Tamandua tetradactyla: one gene and its partners. The protein of the gene in region 3 purifies or fractionates together with the protein of the main gene of each other region. This does not show direct contact. Links are inferred from orthologs where the notes say so. Each region holds a gene or a part of one and is shown on either strand. Other genes may lie near its edges. The genes, in order: RBBP8, EDC3 and USP4.

The links.
Region 1: the proteins of USP4 (region 3) and RBBP8 purify together in Homo sapiens (affinity purification with western blotting; 3 studies listed by BioGRID, with this or other methods). This does not show direct contact. The link is inferred for Tamandua tetradactyla from reciprocal best matches to the Homo sapiens genes USP4 and RBBP8.
Region 2: the proteins of USP4 (region 3) and EDC3 purify together in Homo sapiens (co-immunoprecipitation; 3 studies listed by BioGRID and IntAct, with this or other methods). This does not show direct contact. The link is inferred for Tamandua tetradactyla from reciprocal best matches to the Homo sapiens genes USP4 and EDC3.

The regions. Positions count from the first base shown.
Region 1 is NC_135344.1:60,618,293-60,629,414, forward strand, and holds the start of RBBP8 (DNA endonuclease RBBP8), read right to left. Parts: upstream 4,478-11,122; 5' UTR 4,141-4,477; intron 3,987-4,140; exon of another isoform or gene 3,634-3,986; intron 1,720-3,633; 5' UTR 1,620-1,719; coding exon 1,511-1,619; intron 1-1,510. UniProt on the Homo sapiens protein: Endonuclease that cooperates with the MRE11-RAD50-NBN (MRN) complex in DNA-end resection, the first step of double-strand break (DSB) repair through the homologous recombination (HR) pathway.
Region 2 is NC_135338.1:67,334,114-67,344,669, forward strand, and holds the start of EDC3 (enhancer of mRNA-decapping protein 3), read left to right. Parts: upstream 1-5,748; 5' UTR 5,749-5,925; exon of another isoform or gene 5,926-6,043; intron 6,044-6,074; exon of another isoform or gene 6,075-6,226; intron 6,227-10,556. UniProt on the Homo sapiens protein: Binds single-stranded RNA. Involved in the process of mRNA degradation and in the positive regulation of mRNA decapping. May play a role in spermiogenesis and oogenesis.
Region 3 is NC_135341.1:36,906,671-36,917,749, reverse strand, and holds the start of USP4 (ubiquitin carboxyl-terminal hydrolase 4), read right to left. Parts: upstream 4,353-11,079; 5' UTR 4,293-4,352; coding exon 4,192-4,292; intron 3,973-4,191; exon of another isoform or gene 3,918-3,972; coding exon of another isoform or gene 3,847-3,917; intron 2,324-3,846; coding exon 2,196-2,323; intron 1-2,195.

The DNA of each region.
Region 1 (11,122 bases), on a different chromosome or scaffold from region 3:
TTTTCCTTTCTGGTTTCATCTCCTATCCACATCCCCAATAAGCTTCCATATTTCACTCAATCACTTTGTTAGGGCATATAGTTCCCTATAGTTCCTTGAATAAAACTAAGCTGTTATTGCTATGCTTTCTATATACTAATCTCAGCTCTCAGAACAATCCTTTCCCCCTCCTGCCTTTTTGCCTGGTTGAGTAGACTTAATCAACTGTAAAATCTGAGAGTAAACCATTTCCCCTTCCCCCAGAATACCCGAGTCTTCCCTTAATGTTGCCAGACAAGATGGTACACTGCACTAAAATCATATGGATCGTCTAGACTAAAAAATCCTTTCAAAACTAGGACTATTCTGATTCATCCTTCACAAGGTCTGATATATATAGTTAAGTGCCTGAAAAGCATTTCTTGCACAATTGTCTCCAAGTACACTGGGGCTTGTAAGAAAACTACTTTGGGAGTTCATGTTTTAGAAACCATTGATTAATGATGAGGCTATTATAATGAGGCGCTGCCAGAAATTAAATTTATCACATGGGAAGACTCTAATATTAAGTAAAGAATAACTCCTATATAAATATATATTTTTTAGGTGCATGGTCTGGGAATCAAATCCGGGTCTCCCACATAGGAGGTGAGCATCGACTCACACATTTTACTTTACAATCAGGTAAATCATGTTTTAATAACACTCAGCATGATGTTAAAACTATAAACTATAAACCACTGTAGTATTAAACTGATGGTTACAATAGGTAATAAAAAACAAAAAACAAATGCAATATCAATTTCTCATACAAGCAGTGTATTATATTAAATTCACAGTATTTTATATATTAAACAATATCGAATCTTGAGCTTAGCTTAATAGAATTCCTTCATAAGGTGTACATTCTAAAATGCCACAAATAATATTTATTTACCCCAAGAACAATTGCTTAATCCTCTGTATTTTGTAGCACGTATTACCTTTTCAGCTCTTATTTAATTTGTACTATAATCATACATTTACATGACTATTACAATTAAACTGTAAGCTCTTTGAAGGTAAACTGCCATTTGCCTTTGTATCTCAGTGCTTAAGAGCAAACAGATTTCAAAAGGTTTTTTGAATGAGTTAAGCAGTATCTTCGTATCTATAAATACTCCTTTGAATAAATATTGCAAACCCATTTAACAGAAGAAAATTAAATTCAGAGGTTACGTGATGTGATCACACAGAAAGTAGGTGAATGAAGAGAATTAAAATCCAGGTCTGCAGACACCAATTTCTATACCCATTCCACCACACTATACATATTACCAAAATTAACTACAAGTTGTATAAGAACTGTGTCCCATAGTAGTAGTCTATAGTTAAAAAAAAAAAAAGCAACAACCATAAAAATGACAATGGTAAAGTTCACTTAAAGTTCAGATCTTTCTTCCTTCTAGAAATACACAAAAATTACTCAAAAAGTTAGTTATTACTAGAACAGTTTTCCAAAATACCATCAGTATTTGAGAAAAGATTTTACCTTGTACTTCTTTATCATGATACTCCTTCAGTTTTGTCCAAAGTTCCTTGAAGTCATTAGATATATCTGCAGAACTAGGACTTCCAGAACTGCTTCCAGATATGTTCATCTTGCTTAATATACTCCACACTTTTATTTGCCTAATATTTTCTGACCCTTTCTTTTACATTATATAGATATGAAGTTGCCTGTGGAGACCATTGATATATCTGAAACAAAAGATTACAACACAAATGAATTTTGCATGATTACTCAAGGACAAAACACAAGCCCAGCTGTCCTCATGTTTTCTTTATTTACCTACAATTCATCACTTTAAAAGGAGGGAGGGAAAAATGAGGGAAGATTAAAGTGAGAAGAAGCCCTGATTTCAGTAATTCGTTTTTTAGTTAAGCTAAATTTTACCTAAATTACGCTAAATTGAAAGGATCCTGATATTGAGAGGTTCTTTTTAGCATAGGCAGGCTCCCAGAAACGAACCGAGCATGGCAGGCAAGAACTCTGCCACTGAGCCACTGCTGCACTGCCCTATTGAGAGGTTCTTGATTAACCATGGTCAGTACTGATTTAACATTAAAAGACTATATTGCTTTTTAATTTTTGGATTGATGTAAGGTGCAGCAATATGTCGAATCCCAAACTGGAAAACATTCTGAAATATTCTTGTATTAACAAGTACCAACATGTATATACATATCTATATACATATAGACATATATGTGTTATAAGAGAGCAAGACTAATGACTGATGTATTAATACAAATGGGCTCTGGATAGCTTTCTCATAAGTCAGTGAGCAAAATACATATACAACAAAGTTGTATAAGTATAGAAGGGAAAGGCAATTAAGGTAAAGCTCTTTCGTGCCTCTGTCAAAGTAATGGTGAATGATTAATTTTTATTTCTTGTGTAACCAATAAAGAAAGTGACAGGGTATTAAGAAGTTCAAGAGGATTAATAAATTATTTTAGGATGTGTTCTTTAAACTGAAGCCACTAAGAAGCTACTACTAAAAAAGGAAAATGAGTAACATAGTAAATAAGCTATGGTCTTCTAACCCAAGAAGGGTTTTGTGTGAAGCCACTTAAATTATAAAGCACCGCAGAAATAAAAGTTAACTTTTATTAAGCATTTAAAAAACTGGGATTAGATTTTTTTAAGACAATGAGTGAAAATAATGTGTACTTGATTTCAGATATTTGGAATTTATTGCTCATTTCTTGTGTATGATAGAATTTTTTTTAAATGTCCTAATCTGTTAAGGAGTATATACTGAGGTACTTACAGGTAAATGACATATTGTTTGGGATTTGTTTTAAAATACTCCAGCTAAAACAAAAAAATGATTTTGGATGGGGAGATGAAAGAAGGGCTGAGCACTGGCAATTATTAAAGCTGGGTGATGATGAATGGATATATGAGAGGGTCCATAATTCTAGTGTTTCTTTCTTGGGTATGTTTATATTTTCCATTACAATTTTTTAAAATGAGATTAAATGCACTGCATTAACACAGCTTTGTTTCCAAAGAGGCTTGTATTCTACTATTTTTAACACTAAAAAAATAATCAGCCTGTATTACCGTCAATAAAAGTTACCATTTATTATTTACTATATGCCACGGACTGTACCATTTTACATTCACCGTTTTACTTAATCCTCCGAACAATTTTATAAAAGTTATTATTATTAATTTCATTTTAGAGAGAATACAGACATTTGCGACCTCCTCATGGTCACAGCTAGGATTACATGGCTATGTCCGGGTTGAAACAAGTGATACCAATAACTGCAAAATAATTCCTCTTTGTGGCAAAAAAGGTGTATGTGTGTGTGAAAATTTTTTCATTAACTAGTTAAAAGAACAGCATAGTATTAGTTTAAAACCGAGTATAAAATACTTCTCCTTTAAGAAACCCCTCTCTATTTAGACAGTAAAAAAAGGGCTATGTGGCTTTTTTTTTTAACCATTAAAACACTTAATACTAAACTTACAAATTCCGGTTCACGAAAACCTCCCCAATCTATGATGCAACGTCCAGTATTGACTGGCATCACTCCTAGTGCCCTGAACCGTTACTCATAGGACGATGCTCCTTAACTTCTCAGAAATGTCCACCTTACCTCCCAAGTGGCAATCCGGGTTCGTACGTCTGTATAATTTGGTAAAATTTAATACACCGCCCCGGGCAGTGTAAGCCACCAAGCTGAAGGTTCTTAGTAAAATATCTGTTTCCTGTCACACCACACGTATTCTCACACAGGTGGGGCAAAGGACGCGCCTCGAATCACACAGGAGACCTAGACAGACTGAGCAGGAGATCTGAGGGGTCATCTGAGCAAAGCAGAGGTCCGGGTTCCTATGCCAGGCCCCTTAGCTATCCGCCTGTCCTCAGGTGCCGCGCGAGTTATGCGGACGGGTCCCCCCAAAACACCCGGCGGGCTTTTGCCAAGTGCGACTGGCGCGGGTAGCGCGCGCGGAGGCGCAGGACGTAGTCAGCGCAGGCGCGGGGCGGGCTCGGCGCTGGGAGGCGTTTCCTCAGCCCGCGCGGGAGACCAAGGGAGCTGGAGAGGAAGGGCCCGTCCTCCCGCTGGCGCCCGTGGGCCGACTTCACCTTGGCCCCAGCCTACCTCCTCGGGCACAGTCGGAGAACCGCAACACGCTCCCGCACCCCGGGAGTAAACCCCGGCGCTTAGCGCGCGCTCCACCCTCGACCGGAAGTAGCAGCTACGACCGGGGAAAGGGGGAGGAAGCGTCCCCTTACCCACGGCTCCCAGTGCTGCCTCGAAATTTTCGAAAGACCAGTAGGGAGGCGGGCGCCTTCGGGGACTGTGAAGAGACGGCCGCTTGCTTTTTCCTCTTTTTGCACCAGACAGGCACTCCCAGCCCGCGGTTTGTTGAGGAGAAAGTCGACGATCGCGGGCTGAGCTCACCGGTGGCCGAACCCGTCCCGCCCGGGGCCGCGCGACGTCGCGCGGGAGTTCTCGCAGCGCCACGCCCCTTCCTCCGGCGGTGGAGTCTGGCTGCGCCCCCAGACCCACGGGACGAGGCAGAGCGTGTGCGGGTGAAGGTGGACTAGGACTGGCTTTCGGGAGCGGCTCAAAGGGCGGGCCACGCCAAAGCGTCTTTGAGATTCCCTGGAGACGACTCAGGCCGTTCTGTCAGGAGAGCCTTAAGTCCCGGGTGTTAGGTGCAAGGTACCTTATGGTGTATCTGACTTAAATTTCGAGGAAAGCCTGTGAGTGACCTGTACCAAACGGAAAGTTAGAATGAACTGATGGGGAACGGACACGGATCAATCCGTAGTTTCTGCGTTGTAGCTTTGCCTATCGTTTGGAAACTGAATGTTATAACCTGACAAAACTCCATATATTAAAACGAGACTTATTTTGCTGAGATTAAGTTGAAAGTTTCTGGCGAACCTGAAAAGAGAAGGAATCAGAAGTGACCAGCATTATTTGTTGGGACAACTTGCTGTTAGGTAATGTTTAAAATAAGGTCAGTTTTTCCTATGGATGCTTCTTTATGATATTCAAGCTGATGGTATGTTTTACTCTTTATCATGCTTTCTAACAGAAGCGGTTTTGGACCATTAGGAATTTTACAAATGAAACTGAAGAAAACAGACGGTGAACTAGAATCACAACATTTTAAAAACTACTCCAGTACTTTTCTGTAATACTTCTAAGCATGGGAAATGGTCAGAGTAGTATTGTAAACTTGTTTTCTAAGTAATGTTTAGAAAATAATAAATAGAAAGTGTAAAATTAATTTTTCTGCTCATCCTAGCTCTTAAGAGATGAGTAACAACTTTCTCCTTGAAATTGGACATTGTAATGGGACATGACGCACCATTCTGGCACTGCCATACTTGGTATTTTTAAAATGTGTTGGTGAACCTTCATTACCTTGTTATGGGAACCATCATTTATTCACTTCTAAATTTTATGACTTAATTCATAACACTTTTAATGAATGAAAAAATTCCCTATGCTATTTTTCAAGGCCACATAGGAGGAATAATGGGCAGTGAAGCTTGTATAAATGTTTATGGTGGAATTGGGGCGTTTTTGTAATAAATGGAAAAAGTCTATAACCAGTTTGTCAGATAACAGCATATGGACAGAAGGCTGTATTTGTGGTCCAAAGGAAAACCATCATAGGGGAATGACCTAACCTGTTCCTCTGTCCTCTGCCAATGGCTCCACTGTCCAGCCCATTTATGAAAGTCAGAATCCAAAGACTCAGCCTTGACACCTTTTACTGCCTTAACCTCCTTATTCTGCCCAGTCCATCACCAAGTCCTGCTAATTGTACTTACCAAATATCTCCCAAATCCATGCACTTCTCTCCATCACCACGATAATTCAAGATACCATGATCTCTTACCTAGTCTTTTGCTGTTCTACCCAACTAACTACCCTACCTAAACTTTTCTTTTCAGTGATGTTCAGAAAAATTTGTCAGCATCTATTCCCAATTCATATATGTATATATAATTTAAAATTGCACAAATGGTGCGGGCCATGGTGGCCCAGAAGGCAGAATTCTCGCCTGCCATGCCAGAGACATGGGTTTGGTTCCCGGTGCCTGCCCATGCAGGGAAAAAAAAAATTTCACGCATGCATTGCTGAAAGATGGTATATAGTCTGAGTCACAGTCTCTGCCAGTCAGAGCTCTTGGATTTGAATCCTGGCTCCAGTACTTCCGGAGTGGCCCTGGGCTAGTTACCTCATTCCTCTGTGTCTCATTTTTCCTACTTATTAGAAGAGGATAATAATAGTACCAACCTCACAAGATTATGAAGATTTACTGAGTTGATGTATGTAAAACCGCTTAGTAGTGCCCATAAACATAGTATAAGCTCAATAAATGGTAGCCATTATTAGTACTTGTGAGCTAATAGACTGAATATTATAACATATTTTTAGAGGATAAGAAAAATAGAATAGAAATTTAATATTAACTCCTTCTCTCACCTAAGATTGTGTCCACTTTGAGATCATTACATCTACTGTGATCTTGGAAAGTAAATCTGATGTCATTATTGCTGCTTAAAACCCTTCAGTGGCTTCCTGTTACTTTGTGAAGAAAGTCACTTTGAACTGCCTCTACTGCATCTCCAGCTTCATTTCCAAATATACTCTGCCTTCAGCCTCATTGGCCTTTTAGAGTCTTGAGAGCTAGTCTTCTACGCAAAAGGCCCTTTGCGTGCTGTTCCCTATACCTGGAATTCTTGACCAAGCCCGTCCTCTTGCCTAGCTAATTACTGTTCATCCTTTTATCTTGTTTCAGTGGTCTCTCCTATTAGGTGCTCTTACAGGTAGGACTTAGCACAGGATTCCCCATTTTTCATTTATCACAGGTTTATTTAAATGGTCATTTATTTAAATTTATTTCTCTTCACTATACTGTTTCTTGAGGTCAAAACCGTGTCTTGTTCATCATTTTATCTCCAGAAACCAACCCAGTGCCTGCCTAAAATCAGTACTTTGTGGATAAATGAATGAATGAGAAATCTCTGGATGGATTTCTGTTTTTTATATATGTGGAAACCTTTGGGTGTTTTCAAAATTCCTAGATTATCTTTTTAAAGTTTTATAATGGTCACTTTAACAGTAGAAATATCCATAGATATTTACTCCTCCCAAATAGCTTTAAGACCCGTATGGTGGAATAAATTATGAAGTACCCAAAGATTTGCTTAGAAAACGTCCTTAAACTGAGGAGTAATTATTTTGAACTCTTTGTAATATTGGTTTTCCTATAGTTTATGACTTTAAACAATGATCCCAATTTTTTCAATCATGGCATACTTAGAAAATGAATATTTGTATTACATATTTTGATAAAAGGTCAGAGGTCTTCCCCAGGCCCAGCACTTCCACCCTTAGGGCTAGGGAGTTTAACGGTCTCAGCACACCTATAACCCATTTGAGGCCCCTGGTTAGGATGCTTGATTTAAAAATTGTTAGAACTGTAGAATTTTGGAACTCATGTAGATTTTAAAGTCATCTAACTTAGGCTGTTAAAAATGAAATTCTTTGTTGATTCTATAACCTGTACTTAACTCCTACAACTGGGTAGCTTAGCATGAAGGGAAAATCACATAAGTTAGACTGGTAACGCTTTTATTACTGGTTTCAAACCTCATGTAGATATCAGTTGATCTTTAAAATAGCATTTGTTCAGATTCTTCTCCTATTTCCTTTGGTGTTTTCCAAACCTTCACTATTTTCTTCAAGCTCCTGAACAGTGTTCTTTTAGCAGACAATCCAACCTTCTGGTTAAACAAGACAACAGGTAGGGCTCAACAGATGTGATCTTCCTAAACTTCCCTTTTCCTTTCTCAACCCTGTGAATTAGGCAATACTATTTTGCAGATAATACAGCCTGAATCCACTTGTTTCTTATCACCATCTTTGCCTCTGGTCCAAGCCACAGTCATCTCAAACCTCTTTAACAGCAGCAACCTCGTATTTTTTCGGTCAACTCTCTGCTTCCACTGTTTTCCCCAAATAGTGTACTCTCTGGCAGCGTTGAAAGTGATCCCTTAAACTTTAGAACATGACGTTCCCCTGCTCAGAACATTCCAAGTTCTTCTTGTCATCTTAGACTAAAATCCAAATTTATTTCTATGGAGTCAGGACAAGTTAATCACTGTATTCTACTGACGTTATCTCCTAAATATAATTTTGAATTGATACTTTCCTTATTCATATTGCCCTAGTTGAGGCCCCAGTGTTTCTTACCTATACTGTAGCATCCCTGCCTCCAATCTTGTTCACTTTAATCCAGTCTCTCTACAGAGCCACTAGAGATTGAAACCAATATTTCTGATCTTGGCACTCCCCTGCTTAAAACGCTTCAGTGATTCTCTGTTGCCTAAAGGTTAAATGCCTAATCCCTGTAAAATGTTGCAGAAACCTTTTTTAGCCTTGTGTACTCTACCTCACACTTCATTCTTTCCCTCTATCAACAGAAAACTACTTTTGTTCCTGTCTCTTCCCCTCTTCTATTTCTTTGTCTTGGCTCATACGGTCCTTTTCTCTTGGAATTACTTCCACCTCCATCCTTTACATTTCACCTTTCTACTTATCCTTTAAGACTAAGCTTATGTAGTATTGCTTCTAGAAGACTGACAACTCTTTTACCCCTCTTCCTAGACTCTTCTACTCCCACATATGGCCCTCCTCCTTCTTCCATACCACTACACATACCTTTATTATTGCATTTAATGCCCTAATATTTTAGTTATTCTTGTATGTTTTTATCTTCCTCAACTGCCTGTGGGCTCCTTGATGTCAGAAGCTGTGCTTTCTTTATTCTTTTCAATATTTCTAGTTCTTACCAGAGAGTCTAAGCATAGAGCTATCCAATAGAGCAAAATTTATATAATTTAAAAGTTTCTAGTAGCTACATTTTAAAAATAAAAAGAAGCAGATGAAATTAACTTAATATGTTCTTTTTAACCCAATTTATCCAAGATATTATCATTTCAACATGTAACAATTAAAAATTTATTAATAAGACTTCCTTTTTTTTCTTCATACTAAGTTTCCAAAATCCAGCATGTATTTTACCTTTATAGTACATGTCGATTTGGACTAGCCACATTGTAAATACTAAAAGCCACTTATGGCTAGTGGCTACTGTATTGGATAGCACAAGTCTAGCAATATAATAAACATTTGAATGTTGAATGAACAAATGAGGTTAAATGATTTACCTAGAGAAACATGATAGATTTGGGACAAGGATACAGATTCTAGTCTAGTTAATTTTCACTGTTTGTGCTGGGCATTTCCTATCTCTCCCGCTCCCCACCTCAACCCAACCCCATCAGTGATTATCTAGGCCAAAAAAGAAAAATTAAATGATTAAACCCATTATAATTATTCACATAATACTTTCTAGGACCTCTAACATGAACACGTAATTTACGTAATACTGGTAAACTGGGGTGAGCTATATACCTGCAGTCAGAACTATATTAAGAATAAGGCAAAAGGCTGTTTGAATGATAAGAAGGAGGAGGAGCTTTAAGACAAAAGAAAATTATGTTAACTGTTAACATTTGTGTTAACTTAAATGTGTGGAATTTAATTTTTAAAAAATTATTTGCAGTAATTACTAAATATTTGTGGGTGAGAATATATATTAGTGATCTTGCCCCAAATACCAAAATATCTTCTTTATGATTTGAGTTCAGGGTGCCAAGATTCCAATTAGATTTAGCCATTTTATAATTTTTTAAGATATAGTTAATATTCATGGAGAGTCTCCAGAACAGTTTTATTGTGACAGTCATTAAAGTGCTTTTAATGGACATTAAAGAGAGAATACCTTGCTGTGGTAGTTAGATTCAGTTGTCAACTTGGCCAGGTGAAGGCACCTAGTTTTGTTGCTGCAGACATGAGCCAATGGCATGTGAACTTCATCAGTTGCTAATTACATCTGCAGCCAGCTAGGAGGCGTGCTTGCTGCAATGAATGACGTTTGACTTAATTGGCTGGTGCTTAAATGAGAGAGCTCAATGTAGCACAGCCCAAGCAGCTCGGCATTCCTCCTTTTAGCACTCGCAGCTCTGCCCAGGCCTTTGGAGGTGCAGAAAGGAATCACCCTTTCCAGGAAAGTTGTTGGAACCCAGAGGCCTGGAGAGAAGGCCAGCAGAGATTACCCTGAGCCTTCCCACGTAAGAAAGAACCTCAGATGAAAGTTAGCTGCCTTTCCTCTGAAGAACTAACAGAATAAATCCCCTTTTGTTGAAAGCCAGTCTGTCTCTGGTGTGTTGCATTCCGGCAGCTAGCAAACTAGAACACTTGCTTTCAATGAAAAAAATTAGCCTTATGTATTCTGGCCCTCTTCCAAGCTTTATTTATTTGATATTCACTGTAGTTACATTGGACTAATACCTTTGTCTTTCCACTTTATAAACTGTTAAAATAGATTTTGTTTATTTTTAAACATCTTTCACATGGTACTTCATTTCATGTCAGTAATGGGCAGTTTTTAATATATAATTTGCCCGATGTATAACTATCCCTTTATTCTTTTTTTTTTTTTATTCCTTTATTCTTGATAGAAGGTTGTACATAGTTTATTGATAGCAGCCTGGGTTTAAATAATCGCAGGCTGATCAAACTGTAAGAATAAGTCATTGACATTTGGTGCCTAATAATTAGCATTCCTCCACAGGTTCACAAGAGCAAGCATGCTAATATTCATTGCTTTGTCGTCTTCAAATAAATAATGATTCATGTCTTAAATGGTAATGTTTCTATCTGTGATGAATTTATTCACAGCTGGAAAATAGCTATGATCTTTAATGTATATATGTGTATCTACAAATACATCTTCAAACACACTGGCTAACTTTGTTAAATTTTACCCTATTCTAACCATGCTTGAAAAAAAAAAAGACCATGTTTTAAATGCTGGCTTTTTGCTTTTCCTAATCCATATATTAGTCTGGGTTAAAGACACTTTGTTAGTTACATTTCCAAAATATTTTGTGTTTGTAATTCATTTCTTACTTTCCAGAAACCTATAACCTCCAGATCAATTTCTATGCCAGGTAAGTCCTGAAACCCAGTGGCTCCAGCCTCTCCA
Region 2 (10,556 bases), on a different chromosome or scaffold from region 3:
GACACATGGCGAACACAGTGTCATCTGCTAGCTTTCTCTCCTGGCTTCCTGTTTCATGGCTCCCCCGGAGGCATTTTCCTTCTTCATCTCCAAAGGTCACTGGCTCGTGGACTCTGCTTCGTGGTGCTACAGCATTCTCTGCTGTCTCCGAATCTCTCTCTCTCTCTCTTTTTTTTTTTTTGCATGCTGTATGGTGGGGGTCACATTTCATTCTTTTTCCATATGAGTATCCCATTATTACAGCACCATTTGTTGAATTTTTGTTTGTTTGTTTTGTTTTTTGGGAAGTGCATGGACCAGGAATCAAACCCGGGTCTCCTGCACGGCAGGTGAGAATTCTACCACTGAACTACTCTTGTACCCCCTATAAGCTTTGACTATTAACTTTACATTCTGAGGCACTTTACCGTTTGTATAGTCTAGTAGTTCCCTGGAAATTTAAGTGTCTGTGTTACATCTGAGACTCAGATTTGGTTCTCCAGCTCTGAAAGTCAGCATGGATCCATACAGCAACTGTTAAAAAAAAACTGAAAAAGATCAAACTCTGATTAAAGATGTGATGAAACTGATCTGGTTAAAACTAAGGTAAATCAATATACAAGGTAAACACACACACACACACACACACACATATATATATACAAAACATATATACATATACATATAAAATATATATATATATAGTCTATGTTTTAAAGCTTAAAGTTTTGTGTAAGACCAAAGGAAAAATGTTTATTTTATCCAAAATTTAAACTTTCTGTAGCACACTAATTTAATATGTCTAATCAGTTCATTTAAACAACCTAATACAGCTTTATTTGACCCTGGAATAAAGAATAAAATCTTAATATTCTATACAAATTAATGTTATACCATACTGCATTTCAGAGTATTTGGGGCTGAAAATGGAGGAGTGTTTGCAAAGTCCCTTGAGGGGCTGGGAAAAATAGAACTATTGAACTTCCTCACCTGGGGAATTCCTCACATTTTCTTAAGAGGGCCTTGCAATTGAGTAGGCCAAGGCCTCAATCTTTTTTTTTTTTTTTTACATTCAATGAATATATTCTTTTTAAAAAATATTTTTATTGTAAACAACAAACAAACATGCAAACATTCTTAACATACAAACATTTCTTGACATGGTTATAATCAATGGCTCACAATATCATCATATAGTTGTGTATTCATCACAAGGGCTCAGTCTTGAGGCTTGCCCTTATGAAATTACTTCTGTAATAGCAAACTGAACCTACTTAGGATTAGTGCCTAAGAGTCATCTCCAGAAAATTTGAGCTGTTGCTCAAATGTAGTCTCTAAGTCAAACTCTGACCTTTCCTCCTACGTGGGACATAACTTCTAGGGGTATAAGCTAGGCCCTGGCATCGTGGGACATAACTGGCCCTGGCATTATGGGACATAAGTTCCAAAGATGAGCCTGGCCTTGAATTGTGAATTAGTTGACTAAAAGGGGAAAAATAATGGCTAAGAGATTTCAAATGGAGTTGACAGGTCATTCTAGAGGTTACTGCTATGCAAGTTTCAGCCAGATATTACAAACTGCCACAGTATGGCAAACCCCAAAGATATCCTTGGTTCTATAAAATTTTACTTATTAAATTTGTTTTTTAGAGACTTAAAACCTCCACATTGTTTCAATGCCAGAGAAGTTCTGAAACCCCAAAATACTGGACCCTCCAAGAGTAACAACCGGCTTCATTGTTTCATTCTTCTGCCGCTTAATGACAATGCTCCTTTTCAGCTTTGAAGCAGTTACAGAGTCATCCCTCAGATATCCCTCAAGATTGAGAGATAATTATCAAATGAAAGGGAGAAATTGTAACTGAAAAATTAGGATTTAAGAGATGATGATTTTGATTACTAAATCATATTCCTTTTTTGCTTTCTGGAATATTGGAATAGACAGGGGAATATCTGAAATCCCTAAACTATAATTCAGCTCCCCTGATATCTGAAATGATTGTAAAAGCCCTTATCTTGTGTGTTTGTGACTGTAAGAGCTGTTACTCCTTTTATCCGGTCATTTTCTTGTAGGGGAGAGGCTCTAACGCTAATGAAGAATTTGAAGTCAGCCATTTAACTAGCTTCAGGCCTTGACATTTGTAAATTGCATCACCTAGGCCCTACTATTGAAAGATAACTTGTCTCCCTTCCTTTTGGCTCATATTTTTACTATTAAAGTGATAGCCCTGTTTCCCCTCCTTTCAACTTATGTTCTCCTATTGAATGATAATAGCACTATCTCCTTTTCTGCTTTAACTTGCTATACAAAATGACCTCATCTCCCCTTGCTAAAATCCTTAAAACCCTTGAGTCTCCTAAACTCGAGGAGACAGATTTGGACCGCTAGGCCATCTGCTTACCTACGACATGCCTAGTAATAAACACTTTCTCTCTTTGAAACCTTGGGGTGTCTCAGGAATTTGTTATTGAGCACATTGGGCAAAAGAATCCATGGCCTCTATCCAGGAATACCAGGAGATGCCAGGAGCTAAGAGTGCCAACAGAAGTTAGATAGGAACCAGAGCCAGCAGATGTCACCATACGCCTTTCCAAGACAGTCTAAGATAAGAGATGAAACCCGAGTTTTGCCCCAGAGCAGCTAAGTCAGGACCCACAAATGCTTAGAGAGGAAGTCACTGGAATCACTAGCACAAAGCAACCAACTGGGAGCAAGGACCTCAGATGCCAGCCATGTGTCTTCTCAGCCAACAGAGGCATTCTGGATGCCATTGGCCTTTCTTGAGTCAAGGTATCTTTCTTCTGATGCTTTATCTTGGACATTTTTATGGCCTTAGAACTGTAAACTTGTAATTTAATAAATTCACTTTATAAAAGCCAACCCATTTCTGGCATATTGCATTCTGGCAGCATTAGCAAACTAAAACATCACCCATTATTAGCACTTTAATAACTGCTTAGTTACTGATGACTTCTAAATCTCATACCTCTCTCCTGAACTTCAGATCCACATATCCTATTTACCACCAGATGCCCCACAGTAGGCCCACCTCTAACATGTGCATGGCCTGGACAAGAATATAAAGGGAGATCCCTGACTTATTACCCTTTTTCTTTCTACCCATGTTCTACTGCCTCTACCCTCCACCCCACTGTAAAGAACCTGTCAGGTGCACATTTGTGAACACCTCAACCTGAATTTCCAAGCTTTATCCATATTCCTCCTAAATTTCCAAGCTCTATTCATAGTCCTCCTAAATGACCATCTTTTTGGCCACTCTTTAGATTTAGTAGTGTGCACATTGGTGGTGTGGTCCACCCTTAGGAGGAATGACCTGGAAAAGTGCTTATCTATTGAAGGATGTGAGCTTAGCACCATTTGGGAGAGAATTTAGGGACCTAGGAACCCAAAGTGCAATAGGATCTGAAGAAGGGTGTGAGCACTGGATAGTCATATCCTCTTGGTGCCACAGGGAAAGGCTTGGCTTAAGGGTAACCATCTAAAATATGGGGTCTAGAATAGGGACCCAGTTGCCACCAAAAGATAAATATTGTATTATTTCACTGATAAGAATTAATTAGAATAAGCAAATTCATAGACAGAATTCAGGTTTCTAGAGGCCAGTGTGGGGGTAGGGAATGGAGAGTTAATGCTTAACAGAATTTCTGTTTGAGGCGATAGAAGAGTTTTGATAATGGATTCTGAATCATATATCTGAATGTGGTAATAAGGGAGACTTTTAGGATGTATATATGTTACTAGATTAAAAAAAGAAAAAAGTACAATATAGCTGAAGCAGAGTGAACCCTTGGGTAACCTATGCACTAGTTAATAGGATAATTATGTTTCATCAGCTTAAACAAAGGTACCACACTAATACATTATCAATAATAGGGAGAACTGTGTTTGGGGTGGTGTTATGTGGCCACTCTTGTATTTTCTGCATTATTTTTCTGAAAACCTGTGAGTTGACTAACAAAAAAATTTTTTTACAAACAGAACTGCAAAAAAGAAAGAACACCTACTTGTCTTTCACAGCTTCTTTGCTTTCTCGTAATACAAGAAGTTCCAGTATATGGTGTATACTCCTTGCTCCCACTAATGTTTACTTTTTTTTTTTGAATGGTTAGGCACCGGGAATCGAACCCGGGTCTCCAGCAGGCAGGCGAGAACTCTGCCTGCTAAGCCACTGTGACCCACCCTCCAAACTAATGTTTATTTTTAACACAGTATAGAGTCAACTTCTATATCTAATAGTTGCAGCAAGGACAAGGTGTTTGGAAGAGTGTTACTGCACAATCGCCTTCCCCAATTCTGCTTTAATTTGAATTCTACATTCTGCTGAGAAAACACACCTACTGTGTAGAACTAGATATGTATTAGTGTGGAGATGATCAGAGCCCAGAGAAAATGGCAGTGAAAGAAACAACTAGATGAGGCATTGGAGGAGTGAACCCCTCAATTTCCGTGTTTTGGGCACTGAGGGGTGAGGGAGGCTTGGAGAGGCACAACAGAATTAGCTAGTCTTTTAGGAATATCAACCATGTGCAGGTGCACATTTTGCGATTTAAAGTTCACAACCACTTTAGCTATCATCTCCAGTTTGCCTTCAGAATTGTACACCTCTGGTTTGTAGAAAAACATGTTTTTAAATGGTAGAGCAGGTAATACTTTCGCATTTTCTAAAACAAATTGTTCATATAATTTAGAATTTATAGCCAAGGAGCCTCAAAGCTTAGTTTCACCATAGGATGGTGCTGGTTAATTCTGAGAGAAATCGTTCTGTAACAAGGTAGGAATGTCCATCTCTGTTTTTTTGGTATTAGGGATAGGTGGTATAAAACTTATTAAAACAATCTGACCAACATCAAAGGAGAGAAATGTTGATTATATAGCATAGGATATCATAACTTGAATGTTCTCAGGGAGGCAGCATGTCAAAAGGTCTTGGTTCCAGTCCTGGCTTCATCATTTACCAACTGTGTGACTTTATTTAATCTCTGATACTTGTTCTCCTCTCCTAATAGGAAAATAACACCTACTCGGCCTAACTTACAAGGATGTGTGGTATATGTGAAAGTACTTTCAAACTTGTAACATGTTATACAACTATAAGGACTCATTATTATATTTGTTCCAAAATTATGAACACAAATCTGAACATAAAAAAAAAACGTGGAGCCAGGATTCAATCCTGAATCGGAAACACCAATGGCTCTCAAATCCGTGTGCGCAGCAACTTACTGGAAAAAAAACTTTAAGAAACAGATGCCAAGGCCCCTCCACACCTAATAATACTGTATATTCTTGGTGATGGAGGGTGAGGTGGGGAGAGAGAGGGCGGGGCGCAGAACAGGACGCTATCCTTGGGGAATGTAAAGTCTATAAAATTCCTCAACTGGTTTTGTAGAACCAAGTTTTAAAACCACTACTTTTTATGGTTTACTTTATGTTACCTGATAAGAAGTGGTTCCCCAAACAGGAGTCAGACTTCAAATATTCCTGTAAACTTTAAGTTAGAAAATTCCTCATTACACTCAGTATTGGTCGTAAGCATGGTTTTTCGAAATTGAGACTATCAAGAGTATAAACTGCTAAAAGCAAGGAGAGTGGTTGTGGGCTGGTTCAGCCAACCAGACAGGCTGACTCTAATCCCCCAAAAGGGGTAAAGCTGTTAAACTTGAGGATTAATCACAAAAGGAATTGTTGTTTCCTTTAAGTCGTCGCGGGGTTGGCCTACTTCTTGCGACTCACAGCAACGACTGAGCAAGGATCGGGTCTCAGGTTCCCAGGAGCGTCGGTAAGTCCTCCGCTCTTGCTCGATTAGAGGGGTTGGGGAGAATTGGAAGCTTTCCCTCAAGCCTGCAAAGGAGTGTGGAGTCGCTCAGATGACTGGGCTTGGGAAAGAGGGCAGGATCTCGACTCTAGCCAGGATTCAGCCCGAAGTAAGTAGGCGATGCGCAAAATGGCCGCCCAAGAGCTGCTACGGAAGTCCCCAAAGTCGGTCTTCGCGGCGTTCTTTTTTAAGTTCTCAAATTTCCCGACGCTCCGCCCCTTAACGGTTTTCCGGTTTGCAAGGCGTCGCGCCGGAAGTGATGTTACGGTGGCGCCGACACGCCGAGGTGCTTCCTGCGGGGGAGTTTGTGGGGGTCTGTGTGGAGAAGCTCTTCAATCCCTGTTTCCTACACAGGTTACGCGGTCGTCTGGGTGTCGAGTGCTGCCGGGGCGCGGGTCGGACGCGCGGAGGTGGGAACCAGGGGAGTTGGCTTATTTGTCTGTGCCTGTGGGAGGGGGCTTCCGGGGCTGCCAGTCGGTTCTGTCTTTAGGCTCCGGGTTCCGGCCTTGTAGACTTTTACAGAGCCATACACGAACTGGAGGCCCCATCGGTAGGGCGGGGTGGGGGGGCAGTTATTAGGGGATGTCCTAGGAGTTGAGGTGGGAGTCCGAGGACAGCGCGGTTTTAAATATCCTGGGAGTAGCTTGAGTTGTGAGGCATTAGCAGCCTGGGCTCTTAGTCCCGCCTTGTTGGTGGCTGTTGCAGTTCACATGTTTGCTTATATACTTTGCTCCATACTTCACTTTCCATTTGCACCATGAGGGAGGTTGGTAGGGAAGCGCGTGAGTGACTCACCCATGACATAGATTCAGAACAGAGATGAGTAGATTCAGGACAGAGATGAGTCCGGGTCTAGAAGGAGACACCTGCCAGGGCGCAGGTTCTACTAAATCCCGGGAACTTACCCTTGATTCTTTCCTGCCTGTGGTGTAAATCTGCCGTTCTTATTATTAGTACCCTGAATTGATATTGACTTATCAATTGGCCGGTTGCTCCTCAATAAATCTCCAAATTCTAGAGCTAAAAAGAGTATTAACAATTCTCTTTCCTGGTTACAGGATGAGGCACTCCAGACCTGGATTTTTTCCCCTCTCCTTCCTCACAACAGACTAAATTAATTTTAGTTTGTCGTCTTTCAAATATAGGTCTTATTTTCACACACAAAAAAAGTGACTTTCTTTGAGCAGCTCAAAATTTCAATTGGAAAACTCAGATGGATTTTAATTTGAATGGCAGGTTTAGGTATATTGAATACAAAACTCCTAATTGTTGATTTCTCTGTATGAAGTGAAATGGTTGCAAAAAACATGACTTTTTGATAAAAGTTTTTTTTTAACAGAAAAATCATGCAGAAAATACAGAGTTCCCATATATTCCCCCACTTAAGAATTTTTTGGGTGGAGCCACTTTTTGGGGTAGGGCTATGGTACCAGAAAAGTGCCTCTGAAACTTTTTTGATCTCTGACCCACAGTTAGATACATTTTCGTGATGACTTTGAGTGCCTCCTACATGCATGAGCCTGCGCACACACACAATGAAACAAAATTTACTTATTCTTTCTACAGATGATACCTTCTGACATTTGTTTCATTAAGAGAAAAAAAAGGTTGGTTGCAACCTAAGAAATTGATTGTGATCACCGATGGGTCATGACCTGAGGTTTGAATAATATTGGGTTAGAATATGTGTTAAGAGTCTTGTCATTACTGAGATTCTGCCATTAGTACAAAATGGAAGATGTTTCATTTTTCTGTTCTTATCAGGCAGAAGAGCAAGGTTATTTGAGTTCTGAATTTTTCCAGGACAATAGCAGAGGATACATAAATTTGCATTTCAATGGTGTATTGTCTCCATGGTGTCATAATTTTAGCAAGGCTTGTTAAGTCTTTTTTTGGTCGCCTGGTAGGTGAGAGCGAATTTGCCAGGAGGTGGTAGAATTAGGTGACATCATGACTTCCAGCATCTGTGTCTAGAGGGGTTTGATTTATTGATGTATCACAACTTAGCGCTGGGATGCTGATGATTATAGCTGAGACTCTCTATACACAGTATGAATTTGAAACCTTATCTGGAAGGTGTACGTATCAGATTTGCTGCCTTATGAAGAGAAAGTGTCGTCTGGTTGATGACTTGCCAAAGTCATCATAAAAAATCTCAAATTTAAGATGGAAGAACTGGATAAATGTGAGGTATTCCACTTGGGTCTAAAATTATGTTACTTAGCAGGGTAGCAGGGAGGGCTTCATGTAATAAAAAGATGTGGGACCTCAAACACTACTGACAAACACCGTCTGAATCAGTGGTATAGTTAGGCTGTGAAAGAAATTGATGTGATCTTCATTAGTCTGAATCAGTGGTATAGTTAGGCTGTGAAAGAAATTGATGTGATCTTCATTAGTAGATCATATTAGGACAATGTAATCACTTATGCAAGCCAGGTAGGATATTAGGTTTAAATGGAATATTAGATTTAAATCTGGTTACACAGAGTAAATTTATGGGTAGGAGTTAAAAAGAAGTCAGAATTTGTTACATTTTAAAAATTTTTTGTTGGCTGACAAGATGTAATAGCATTGTTTTGGCATGAGTGATTTTTTTTCCCTTGTCATTTTAGGCTTTCAGGTATAGGCTGGCTAGTGGTCTTAAAACATTTTTGCTTGAGAGTCCCCAAAAGATTGGAAGTTCAGTGTATCTCCTTCACACTTTGAAGTTGGATCTGAAATTTTTTGTCATAAATTTAAATAGCTTGGAATGTAATTTCTGACATGCAAATATATTAACATTTTTAGTTAAATACAAAATTATTTAAATACAGTAGCAATTTTGTTTTAAAAATATGCAAATAAGCTTTTAAAAATTATGTAATATAGTCTATTCCTTGATTTTCAGATGATAAACTTTGCATTCCTGGATTGAACCCCTTCTATTCATGGTATATAATACTTTTTATATGTTGCCGAATTGAGTTTGCTGTGTTGTTTTTTTTTTTTTTTGACATGGGCAGGCACCGGGAATCAAACCCAGGTCTCCAGGAGAGAACTCTGCTTTGCTGAGCCACTGTGACCTACCCGAGTTTGCTAATATTTTATTAAGAGTTTTTTACAAGGAATATTGGTCTGAAGTTTTCTTTTCATATGATGTCTTTGTCTGACCTTAACCTTTTGTTCCATGTTGCATTTTTTTAAACTTTTTGTTTTTATTTTTATTTTTTATCTATTTCTTATAAATATAACAACATACAGGCGCAAACATTCTTAACATATGAGCATTCCATTCTTGGTATATAATCAGTGATTCATAGTATCATCACATAGTTTTATGTTCATCACCAAGATCATTTCTTAGAACATTTGCGTCACTCCAAAAAAAGGAATAAAAAGAAAAAAACTCATGCATACCATACTCCTTACTCTTCCTTCTCATTGACCGCTAATATTTCCATCTACCCAATATATTTTAGTCTTTGTTTCCCCTATTTTTTTTCTATACCCCTTACCACTCCCTTTCATTGATCACTAGTATTTCAATCTACTAAATTTATTTTATCATTTGTTCCCCCTATTATTTATTTGTTTTTAATCCATATGTTTTACTCATCTGTCCATACTGCAGATAAAAGGAGCATCAGACGCAAGTGTACCATGTTGCATTTTGTGGAAGGTCTGAGCTTTGTGCTAGGATGGTACTAGATGTTTTCTATTAAGGTCTTTGCCATTCCCAAGATTTTGATTCTACAAAAACCTTTCCTGATACATGGAAACTATCTAGCTTTTCAGAAGTCCCTAACTAACCAAGTACCCATCTATCTATAGCTGTTGATTATGGTTGTCTTAGGCCAAGAGGTTGCTCCTTGAATCTGAATACTGAGTTATACTTGATGAGGCAAGTGAGATAGAAGTAGCTAGGTCTATGGTTGACAAATGATTTTTTTGTGCTTTATGGATCATTTTGTCAATTGCTTCAGTTGCATATTAGGTGGAAGTCCATTTAGGGCTACCTGACTGTGTCATCTAAAGGCCTCTTACCAGAGAAATAATATTTTTGTAGTCGGAAAATCCTGACGGTTTAGCATTAGACCAAAATTGTCCCATTAAAAAAAAATAATCTAGAAAGTCCTGATGATCTGATATCTGTGTCTCCCTTCCTGGCTACACAAATAATTTGCTCGGATAAATTTTCTTTGCAGAGTGGTAGAATAAGTGTTGACTGGTGAATGCACCAACATTGCGTTTTTGTGAAACTTGTTAACATTGTTGAGTACCACACAAAAGAATTAGTTCTTTTTTAGGTGGTGGTATTTGATTCATTATCATGGATAAAATTTTTAGGAAAATTATATGTGCTTTTATGGTACATTAAATCCTATCACCAAACTTTATACAAGAGGTAGTAGAGGAATGGAATGTCTTAGTAGTATCTGAGCAAAGTAGTAAATGAATTAAAGGGTCCTTTCTGGAGATACTTAAGAAATGGATGCAGAATCAAATGAACTTTGGTACAAGATACTGATTGAGTAATAGTTTGCTAAGTTTCTGAGTTCAACATCATTTCAGTACCTTAGAAATGATGGAAAATAATTGGGGAACAAACAGTATCAGTGAAATAAGAGTACATAAGGAATTTGTTTAGGAAGATATCAAAACTATTGCCTTCTCAACTAAATGAATAAAATTAGAGTGTTGATACCAAGTGTTGGTGAGGACATGGAACACAGGAACTTGCATACATTGTAGGTGGGA
Region 3 (11,079 bases):
AAAAAAAAGAAAGTATAGCAGTACAACTCATGTGGAACTAAAAACTATATAAGAGAATTCACAGGGTGACTAGGGCTTCCCACCATCCTTCCCACCAAGGATGTGACCCTGAATTACAGGCAGGTTTCTGACATGACCCACTTCTACATTTCTCATTCCCAAGGAAAAAGGAAAGGAAGTCAACAGCCTTGGGGAAGAAGAATACCAAGAGGAATCCTCCCCATTAATGAGCAGCCAACCATTTTTAACAGCAGCAGCTCTGGCATGATTATTAATATTGACAGACCAGGCCCTTTCTGATCAGGACAGAAGAACAATCCAGGGGTAGTACTTCTCAGCTTGCTGAGACAAGAGCTTGTCAAAAAAACCCTGAAAACTAAACTAAAAAATTTTCTCTGGCTTACAAATCAACACTCATGAACATCATTCACTTATTCTTGCCTTGCTTAGAGGAATATACCCTAATCACTTCTAATACTAAGCACCACACAGATCTGGCCATACCGTGTCAAATATTAGTAAGAAACCTTTAATTGAGGGAAAAGAACCAGCAGCTTTCAGTCTCATACACCCCAAATGTATCAGTTCTACAGACTCTTTCCCCTCTGTGACAATTTTCCCAAATACGTCATTCTGATTACATTAATTGTACAAGTGCAGGAAAATTAACTGGAACTTTCAATGCAGTTCATCATTTTTACTCAAAACTGGATCAGTCCCAGGGACTCATGCTAAAAATCATACAGAACTGATTTTCTTCAACAGAGAGGGGAATAAAGGAGAAAAATGAGAGCAAAGCTTCAGTCTTAGCACAGGGATCTCACATGATTCACAGTAAGGACACAGGTAAAAATGACAGGAGTGCTCTGCTGACTACATCAGTAAGGATATGTTCTTTCTCCTCCTTCACACACTACTAAGAATTCTTTCCATTAGTCTGGGCACAAGACAACCAGGCTGGGATTAGCAGGTGACTGAAAGCCAAGGTACTGAGGGGGTGAACGTCATTTGTCAGGTCATTCCTGAATTGTCCTGCATTGTCAGGTCAGTGTTCCAGAATCTGAATGGAACATGCTTCTCACCTGTAAACACACAGCAGACATTTCAAGCCAAAGTCAGGTGACATCGAATTGAGGGACTGCAGAAGGAAATCCTACCTTTAGCTAAAGGTCATGCAAATGACCTTAGACAGCCATCTCCAGCTCTGAGTCTTATTATTAAAATTAAAAACCTTAAAAATTCTCCTTGTCAAAATAAGAAGGGAAAGCGCAAAGTGCAAACAAAATACAATGCTTCCTAACCACTCAGGGCAACTTCATAATACAGAGCTACCTAACAACCTATACCAGAAAATAAAGCAAATGACATTGTTCATCATGTCGTTTAGACTTCCCTTAAAACAAGGTTTAAGCTGAAATATTTCTTGTCTTTATAATTATCTAGGGACTTGGATCAAGCTTCATTCATTGCCTTCTACTAGCCCTGATTCTGGCTACATGTGACAGATCACTTCTGTCCTACCTGTGAGTGAGTGTACAGTTAAACAGAGCACAATGAGGGAAAGGTTGATTCTGACATCTCTGTACATTTACATGTGCAACCAGCTCAGGTGGGTCATGAATTACTTTTCCCACAGTTCCCTGTGGAAGCTGACTACGGTCTTAACAGTACTTGCCTTCCACCTCTCTTCAAATTACTGCTGTGACAAACATTGCCATCACGGGAATGTCTGATGAACGTCAATGAGTCTACAAATTCGTTTCACTGCAAAGGCAATGCAAAAAAACCTGGTTCCCAAATTTCATATTCCAGACGCAACTTCAAAATGATAACCTATTTCCAGTCTGATATGACCCTCTCATTCCCAAAGAAAAGGGATTCCATTCAGGATACTAATCTAAAATCTAAACTCTGTAGTAGGACTAACTTGGGGGCGGGGGGGGGGAGAGAAAAGAAATTCTTTTAAATAGTAGAAGCATGCTCTTGTTAGAAGCAGTTTATTTAGGTAATAAGTAGCTTAACTTCTGAAGGTCTACAAAGACTTCTGCTATAGACCCAAACCAAGGAAACTTCCTTATACCATCCTCATCTGGGGAAGTCAGGTTCACAATGTTCCTGTTACAGAAAAACATGACCTCAGGCCATGTAAACATTTCATATGCATTTCAGTTGAAAAGAAAAGCAAGATACTGTACCCGAAAAGAGTCCAGAGTTATCTATTGGACCAGGAAACAGGTCGTGTTCACCCACATTGTACATATCCCAGCTGTCGAAGCCCACATACTTCTTCCACTGCTTGAACCACCGACTGTCAATAAGATACCTAGAGACAGAAAAAATGTAATGTGGCAGAAAAGCTGAGGTTACAAGTTTCCGAGTCTGCTCCCTTAATCTTTTTTATGCTCTTTTATCTTGGCTAACACATAAGAGGCCCCATTAAAAAAAAACACACTCTCAAGAGCAAGAACAGGGCCAGGCCCCACATGGCACAGAGGGCCTGGGGCAGGAGTACAATAAGTGAAATGACTGTTCAAAGAATGAAAGGAAGGAAATGACTGGCTTCAAAAGTTTATTTAAAGTCCTTCTATGGCTAAAATCCTGTTTGCCTAACAATTAAGTAACTTCATAATGATCTTGTCCAGGTAGACAGTCTACCGTTACATTGTTTTGCTTAATGTGAAGAGTACTAATCTTTTTTTTATTTCTAGAAATGGGATTATAGTACCACTGACTTCATTTTTCCTTTGAGGACCAAATGAGATATCCAAAAACGTGTGAAAGTATCTAATGCTCACTTTCTTTTCTTACGTAGTGAAGTAAGACTAGAAGACTGTAATAATTGTGAATTCCCCTTACACTCATTAAAATGGAATATATATATGTATGTACACATATATATCAAATTAGTGTTTATGTTTGTTCAACTAGTCAAATAAGCATTAGGTGAGTTCTGGGTTCAATCTTTTGCTTTTTATACTTAAGAAAGAAACACAAACCTGAAAGTATTACTATGCTGTTTGACAATAAAGACAGTAGGGGTGAAACTGTGTGGGACAACAAAACACAACAGTTATACTAAGACCTTCAAATTTTATAACCAACAAACCTCAGAGATGGTCAGTTAACTCTTGAGGCCACAAGGATCCATAAATATACACAAACTTCTGAAACACTCTTTTCCCTCCAAACCCATTAAGCGATGCTCTCCCTATATTTTTAGTGGTTTTAGTCTATCTAAATTTTCTCTGCTTCTGCCTAGTATTCTTTTTTATATATCACCTCTATACAGGAGAACTTTCAAAAGTACCTCTGCTTTGCCCTGCCTTTCACAGCTTGGCTAGCTTAAGATGAACATGGTAAAGCTGTATCTGAACTCCTCCTAACACCCTTGTTTCTCTTCCATGTTCAATTCCTCTGTCACTAGAAATGGCATTATCATCATCACCATGTTCTTAAAGAGGGAGATGTAATCATTTTCAATTTCTACTGCCACACGATATTCTATTTAACCCGGGGATCCAGGGTTAAATCTATTAAGAAACCTCATATTTCAACCTTACTCCTCTAAATTCTGCACTTTTAATCTCCCTATCTCTAGCTCCAAGCTCTCGGCTACCCACCTCTCCCATCCCAAAATGCTGCTGCCACCATTATTTTTGACATTTGCTACCAGAATACCCTGGGGCTCACAGACATTGGTTCAGCTTCTGACCTTGATATCTGTTACGCAGTTTGTAGCTTACAATGTATCTACTTCTGATCCTCGCCCTTTAGCGAGGAGGATGGGCCAAGTACCGCTACCCTACTTTTATTAGTAAGCAAACAGGGCCTGTGAGGGGTGAATACCTTCGCGCAAGGTCACAAGGCGAGTCCTCGATAGTACGGACTGTCCCCACCCTCACAGTCCCCGGGAACATTCGTTTCCATTTCCTTACCGCTCTGCGGCGCTTGCCCAAGCCGGGCCCGCCCCCTGAGGCTCCGAATGGGACTCGACGATCCCCAACCCCGCCCACGCTTTCCCAGAACTAATCTCGGGGTTCCTTTCACGAGAGGCGGGGTCAAAGCCAACCTCTCAGGGTCATCAGATACCGCCCCGACCAGCCCCTGCCAAGCCGTGAAAGAGGACCCTGGCCTGAGAGTCGGAGTCCCGGCCCCGGCCCTGCGCGGCGGAAAGGTGGGTACGGCGCTCACCACTGCGCCCCCCGTTGGAGCGTTGTCCTCATCAAAGCCCCGAGCTCGGACTTCTGGGTCTCCGTATCCGGCAGCTCACGACAGCCACCACTTTCCGCCATCTCCTCCGCGGTCCTGGCCCAGCCGGCCCGGACATCCGCCTCGCGCACGGTGCGCTGCAGGCCGCGCCTACGCACGCACGCACGAACGTGCGCGCACCCGAGGCCACTTCGTGCTGCTTTGCTGGTCTGCGGGTCTCTTGTTTTTCGCCCGATCTCCCCTCACCGCACATTGTGCATTGCTGCTCTCCCACCCGTACACAGTGGAGCAAGGAGGGGTCTGAAACAGGAGGCGGATGGGAATAGCTGGAAACGAGTCGCCAATTCCTCCTGCCCTCCGGCCTAACTCCTGGCTGGCTAGCTGTGTGGCCGGCCAGATCTCCTTCCTTCGCTTAGGTTGGTACCTAGTGCAGACTCCGAAGCTCTGTCCAGCCTGGTAATCTCCAGGAGATAGCCTGCGAGTCCTATGACCCCTCGTGTTCCTCTTCCCGGGCTGTGAGGTTACCCTAGTCCTAAGCCCGGTGACTAGCTTTTCTCGTTTTTACTCCTGCCATTTCCTCTTGTTCAGCATGAGACCTTAAGCAAGTCGTGAATTTCCCAAACAGGCGACCGGGGGACCTGTCCCACGAGCCCTGCAGGGATTCCAGGAAGTGCCCGTTGCCGCCAAGGTCTTGGGACCAGGACTTGACCTTGTGGTCTTATTAATAGTCTGAAGCAGTCTGTCACCAGAATCAACTAGTCCACGGCAAAATTTCGCAAAACCAATGCGTTCCCACACTGAGCTTTTTCAGGGAAACAAGCAGCTACAGAGGGATAATAGCAACAGGGAAGAAGAAAAGGGGAGGTTCGAGTATGTTCTTCACCTTTAGGTGCCCAGGCATCTTCTTTATTTGTTCGAGACATAATGTACTGAATACGGTATGTATTCCACACGCTTCTCCTCCTGGCGGGGGAAGTAAGCCCAGAGCAAGGTGAAGGTGGGGCAGCTGGCATACGTGAGTCCCCATTTATTTGTCCTCAGAGAAAAATAAGATTCAGTTCGTGCCCTTAAAGAACATGTAATCTAATAGAGAAGTATCGACAAATGACCAAATGTCAACCATTGTGTTGTCAGTTCAATAGAAAAATGAACAAAACGCTGTAGGAGTGCCAGGTGCGACTCCCAGCTGTGAAGTGGAATCTTTGACATGAGTAGCATTTAAGTGTGATCTTGAAGAGCTAGGGGCACATATTACAGAAGGGGAGACTAGAAGGATCAAAAGAGAATTTCTGGAACAGGCAAGGCAGGATCACAGGGTGGGGATGAGGCCAGTTAAGCTGGGCACAAACTACTGAAAGTGCCTAAGAGGATCTAAAGCTGGAAAGGAGGCTGAAGGAACCGTATGTCTTGTCTTAAAATGGCAAGCACACATTGTAGAAGGTTTTGGAGCAGAGATAAAATGGATAAGTGTGCTTCACACCCACAGTGGTACAGCCAGGAGACTCATTAGGAAATTCTCACTGAGGAGATAACTAAGGGAGGAGAGGAGAAATAGATGAGGCACTGTGTTGGGGTGGAAGAAGGGCTGGCAGTGAGAAGGTGTGGTAGTTCATTTGAACAAATTTGCTACTTTTTAAAATGCAGTTTTAGTGAGATATATTCACACACCATACTAACCATCCGAAGTATACAATCACTAGTTCACAGTATCAAATTTGCTAATTTTACATTGAATTTTGGCTAACTAAAATTAGTTACCACTCCCTGGGACATCCATCAGGCACCATCTGGCAACAGAAGCCTCTTGGCAGCTGGTTAGGTAACGGGAAAATAAATTTGTAATTAAAATTGCCTTGAGTAACTGCATAGCACTTAATCCCCTGCATCGTATGATGATTCTACCACTGGGGAATCAACCCTGACAACCCATAGTCCCCTCCTGTGAAAGTTCTTTGAAACTGTAAATATGTTATCAAACAGAAACACTACCTTTATTCCTGTTATTTATGGTGAAAACTTTTGGGTCATGGACATTACTTAAGAACCTACATTGAAGGGTTACTTTTTCCATCTTTTTTTTTTTTTTTTTAGCAGTTTCTCCTTATACCATTATGGCATGGGTCAGAGACTGAGGGAAGTAGGACAAGTCTTTGGCACCAGTCCTGTCCCTAGAAATGAGGACAAAACCTACTTTAAAAAAGGAAAATTTCAGAAAATCTTTTTAAACCAGGAACTGTTTAATGTTCTTAAATGGCTATAAAGTAGTACACTAATTATGGGTAATTCCTTAAAAATGAAGATTGCAAAGAACCGGTGGTTAACAGTGTGAGAAATAAAGTGAATCTTCACATCAAAAGATCATCGTTTCCAAAGATTTTAAACTTTGTTAGTGAGTTTGATTAAAATACATTTTTTAAAAATTTGAGAACTAGAAACAATGAGCAAAGCCTGTGTTTCTTGCTATTGTGAGAGTGACCTATGAACTAAGTAGGAAACAGCAAGAATGAGTGACTCAGCCCAGGAGGTACCCTGGCCCCAGGACTGTGCTGTCTGCTGAGCCATTTCACCCAAGGAAGAAGTATAAATCTAGTAAGGTGCCCAGGTCAAACTCCAGGGGTGTACAACCCACCTGTTGCAAGGGAGCTTGGGTCAGAGAGAGAAAGCAGGAAGAGAGCTAGAGGGAAACAGGCTTGATTGGACACTGCTGCTGGACTTTGGACTGTGATGGTGTTCTAGTTTGCTAGCTGCCAGAATGCAACACACCAGAGACGGATTGGCTTTTAATAAAAGGGGATTTATTTTGTTGGTTCTTCAGAGGAAAGGCAGCTAACTTTCCAGTGAGGTTCTTTCTTATGTGGAAGGCACAGGATGGTCTCTGCTGGTCTTCTCTCCAGGCCCCTGGGTTCCAACAACTTTCCCCGGGGTGACTTCCTTCTGCATCTCCAAAGGCCTGGGCTGAGCTGCCAGTGCTGTGATCAGGAATGCTGCGCTGCTTAGGCTGTGCAACATTGTGTTCTCTCATTTAAGCACCAGCCAATTAAGTCAAACGTCACTCATTGCAGCAGACACGCCTCCTAGCTGACTGCAGATGTAATTGGCAACAGATGAGTTTCACATACTGTTGGTTCATGTCCGCAGCAACAAGACTAGGTATGCTCACCTGGCCAAGTTGACAACTGAATCTAACTAACACAGATGGTCTAATCAAGTATTTGTCAGGTCTGAGTGTGCAACATTTAATCTTTATTTGGTTCCAAATCATAAAGTTCTTTTTTGGCTAGGACTACTGCTTGTCTATGCCAGACTGGAGTTGGCCCTCCTAAGTCACCCTAGGTTCAAACTTGGCCAGTGATTACAAAGCATACATGGCAGACTCATTCTTTCAGAATTCAAAAAATAGTGGGCACCTTTTAATCAGAGTTGACAATGGGTAAGATTTATTTTTGGTTCCCCTTCTTGCCTATGCATCCTCAACCTACCCAGGGGACTGTGAAAAGGTAAAAGGCTCTAGAAATAGACTTTAGAAGGGGACTATGAAAAAGTAAAAGGCTCTAGAAATAGGCTTTAGAAGAACTAAATGTCTCATTAGTATTTTCTAACCTCTATTATATAAGGATTAGGTTACCGGGAAGGTGTCAGAGGTAAAAAACTGAACGAGTCTCACAGAGATCAAGTGGGATCAAGATAATTCTACAAAGGTGCAGGCAGATACATTTTCCTGCATTGGGAACTCATGCTGTTGGACAGATTCAGTTCGGTTCTGCCACTGTTGGGCAGGGAGGGTGTGGTACCCTGGACACATTTGTGGCCAGTGTCTTCTCTTCTTCCTCTAATTCCATTACCATTAATGTCATAACCATGAACAGATATTTAGATGTTGATTTGTATTTGTTGTTTTCCCTTTGCATAGAGTATATTCTTAGTAGACATTTCTTGGATTAATGAATTAAAAAGTTATCCACATATTAGTCATTCTTTCATTTGACTAATAGTACTTGAATATCTGTTATATGCACACAGTCTCTACCCTCTAGGGGATCACAACCAATGTGGTTGGAGAAGACGGCTACACCTTTAATTACAGTGTTGTATGTTGTGTGATAAAAGGAACATGGAGGTTCCTGCTGTAGACTGTTTACTGGTAAAGAAGTTTAAGTGACTGGTATAGGGAGCAAAAGCAAGTTTAAAACATTCCCTTTGGCCTTTAAGGATGGATGATGAAGTCTGCTTTAAAGGGATGCTTTAAATTCACACACACACATACACGTGCACTCACCAAATGCTAGAGACAGAAGAAAGTGGGATAACAGGTGCTTCCTCTGCAACACACTCTTCAAGAAGATTCAGAACCTCTTCACCTGCCTCCTCGTGGTCATATGGGCTGCCGGACTGTAAGATACCTCCCAGGGCAGGCTGTACTTCTCCTTGGACACTGCTCAGGTCTCTAGATGTCTGGGTCAAATGGACCTGCTTTGTGCTCTCCTCCTACCCTGGCCTTTCAGGGCACAACTATAACTGGTCTTTGCCTGCAGGATGTAAAGTCTGCCAGGCCCCTGTCCAGCACATCACTGTCATATCATGTCAGTCTCATTGGTACTTCTGAATGTAAATAACTGAGTACCCAGAAGGAAGTGGCTTTTGTTGGTGGCTTTGGTGTTTTGTTTTTGTTTGCACATGTGACAAACCTAGGGTTGAGGTCTTGGAGAGCCTAAAGCTGAAGGATGTCAGGACTCAGGGTTTGCTTTTGTGCAGCCCTCTTGGCTTTCCTTTCCTTCAGAGCCCCAAGTTGACTGGCTGCCGTGGTCCTGAGCATTCTAGATACACTCAACAACATCTACCAGCAAGAAGCAGGAAGGAACCTTCCTTTTTTCATCCCCTTGGATCACGGCGCTCTTAGAAGACCCCATACCTCCCTGCAGTCAAAGATCAGATCACTTGCCCCTGCATTTGCAGGGACTGAGAGGCTGGTTAGGAAAGCAGATTCTGCTAGCCAGCCAGGAGAAAGAGCTTTGGAATGTATGTCCAGGAGTCGTTCTGACCTGCACATATCCTCTCTGGGAGTCAGTACTAATCATGTCATTGCAGTGTAATGGCTCCTTGGGCAAGGATTTCTCTTGTTTGTGCCCCCAACTCCTAATCCAACAGTACCTGACATAAGGCAGGTGTTGAGTAATTTGTGTAGCCAGCTCTTACTTTAATGCCACTGCCAGCCCAGGCATGTCACATTTCTGTGTGCGAAGCATGCTCTTTTGGTGAGTGTAATAAAAACATACCAAATTCAGAGAAATCTGACAGGGATCATCGTCTGCTTCTTATAAATCTATGCTGTATTCTTTTTTTAAAAATAGACTAGTTTTTTTTTTTTTTTTTAGGAACAATTACAGGTTTACAGAAATATTACACAGAAAGTGCAGGGCTCCCATATACTATCCCCACACAGACACAGGCACAGTTTTCCCTATCATTAACATTTTGCATTAGTGTGGTACACATGTTACAATTAATGAATCAATATTATTAGGATTATTTCAGTAACTAAAGTCAATATTCTACATCAGTGTTCACTCTGCGTTGTATGGTTCTATGGGGTTTTTAAAATTTTTATTGTGGGAACATATATACAAGACAAAATTTACCATTTTAACTATTTTCAAATATATAGTTGAGTAACGTTAATTACATTCACATTGTGCTATCATCATCACCACAGATTACCAAAACCTCCATCACCCCAAAGAATAGGTACCCATTAAGCAATAACTTTCCATTCACCCCACCCCCTGACACCTGGTAGCCTGTATTCTACTCTCTGATTCCCTGAATTTTCGAATTCTAGACATTTCATATAAATTTCATCATACAATATTTGTTGCACATAGAGCTTCTCAATGAAATCCCTGATGCACTGACTACTGGGCAAGCACTGGCATAAATGGATGCAAATATCTCAGACAGGCCCAGTTTTGTCCCTGACCACTTGAATTGCTGTGACCACTATCTTCTCTAATCCTGAAATCGCACTTGGGGTTTTTGCAAATTATATTGTGGAAATTTTAGCTGGTATTTTTTTACCAAGTATAACCCAGAAGTTAAAACTTAAGAAATTTATTAAGTTGGATCATGCTGGAATGCTTCTCTAAAAATAAGCTTTCAGAAAAAATGCATTGAGACAGTAAGAATAAGAAAGTCATCTGATCAAGGGCTAATTTGCAAGAAGTGCCTGACCTAACTTTATCAGATTTAATATATTAAAAGAAGGGTATTTCCGGAAGAACTGCTAAAATGGAAGCTTCTGAACCCAGTTGAGTGATAGCAGGGCCCTTCCCTTCTCAGGTCTGTGGTCTAAATGTTGCTGGCTGCTCCCAGAGCAAGTAATATCCTTCAGCTACTTCTGCATGAACCAGAAGCTAATGCAAACTGTGATTCCTACTCTTGCTTAATTTGAGCTGCTGATTCAGTGGGGTGGGGTGAGAGCCAGTAGTGGTTACACAGTTGAATGATAGAATGCGTGGGTGTACATATGCGTTTTAGGGAAGTATGTCCACTTTCTTGGCGAGAAAGATAATGAAGTCTTAACTAATTTTATTCTGAGTCTTCCTGAAGTAGAGAAGGTTGGAAAGAACTTTCAGTTAAAGAATGCAGGCAGCTTGAAGTCTTAGGAGGAATGTTCTCTGCCAGGGTCAGCCATGCTGAGAACTTGGCAGTTTCCTTCCTGCATAAACTGAGGGAAAAGAAGTGGGGGAGGAGGGATGAGTCACCAGGAAGCCTGGGGGAAGAGGTTGGAGTCAGTTTGGAAAGCCCCTGGTTCTCATCCTGAGCCTAACTTGGGCGTAGTCTAGGCTGCACTTACTCTTTACAGGAAAGGGGAAA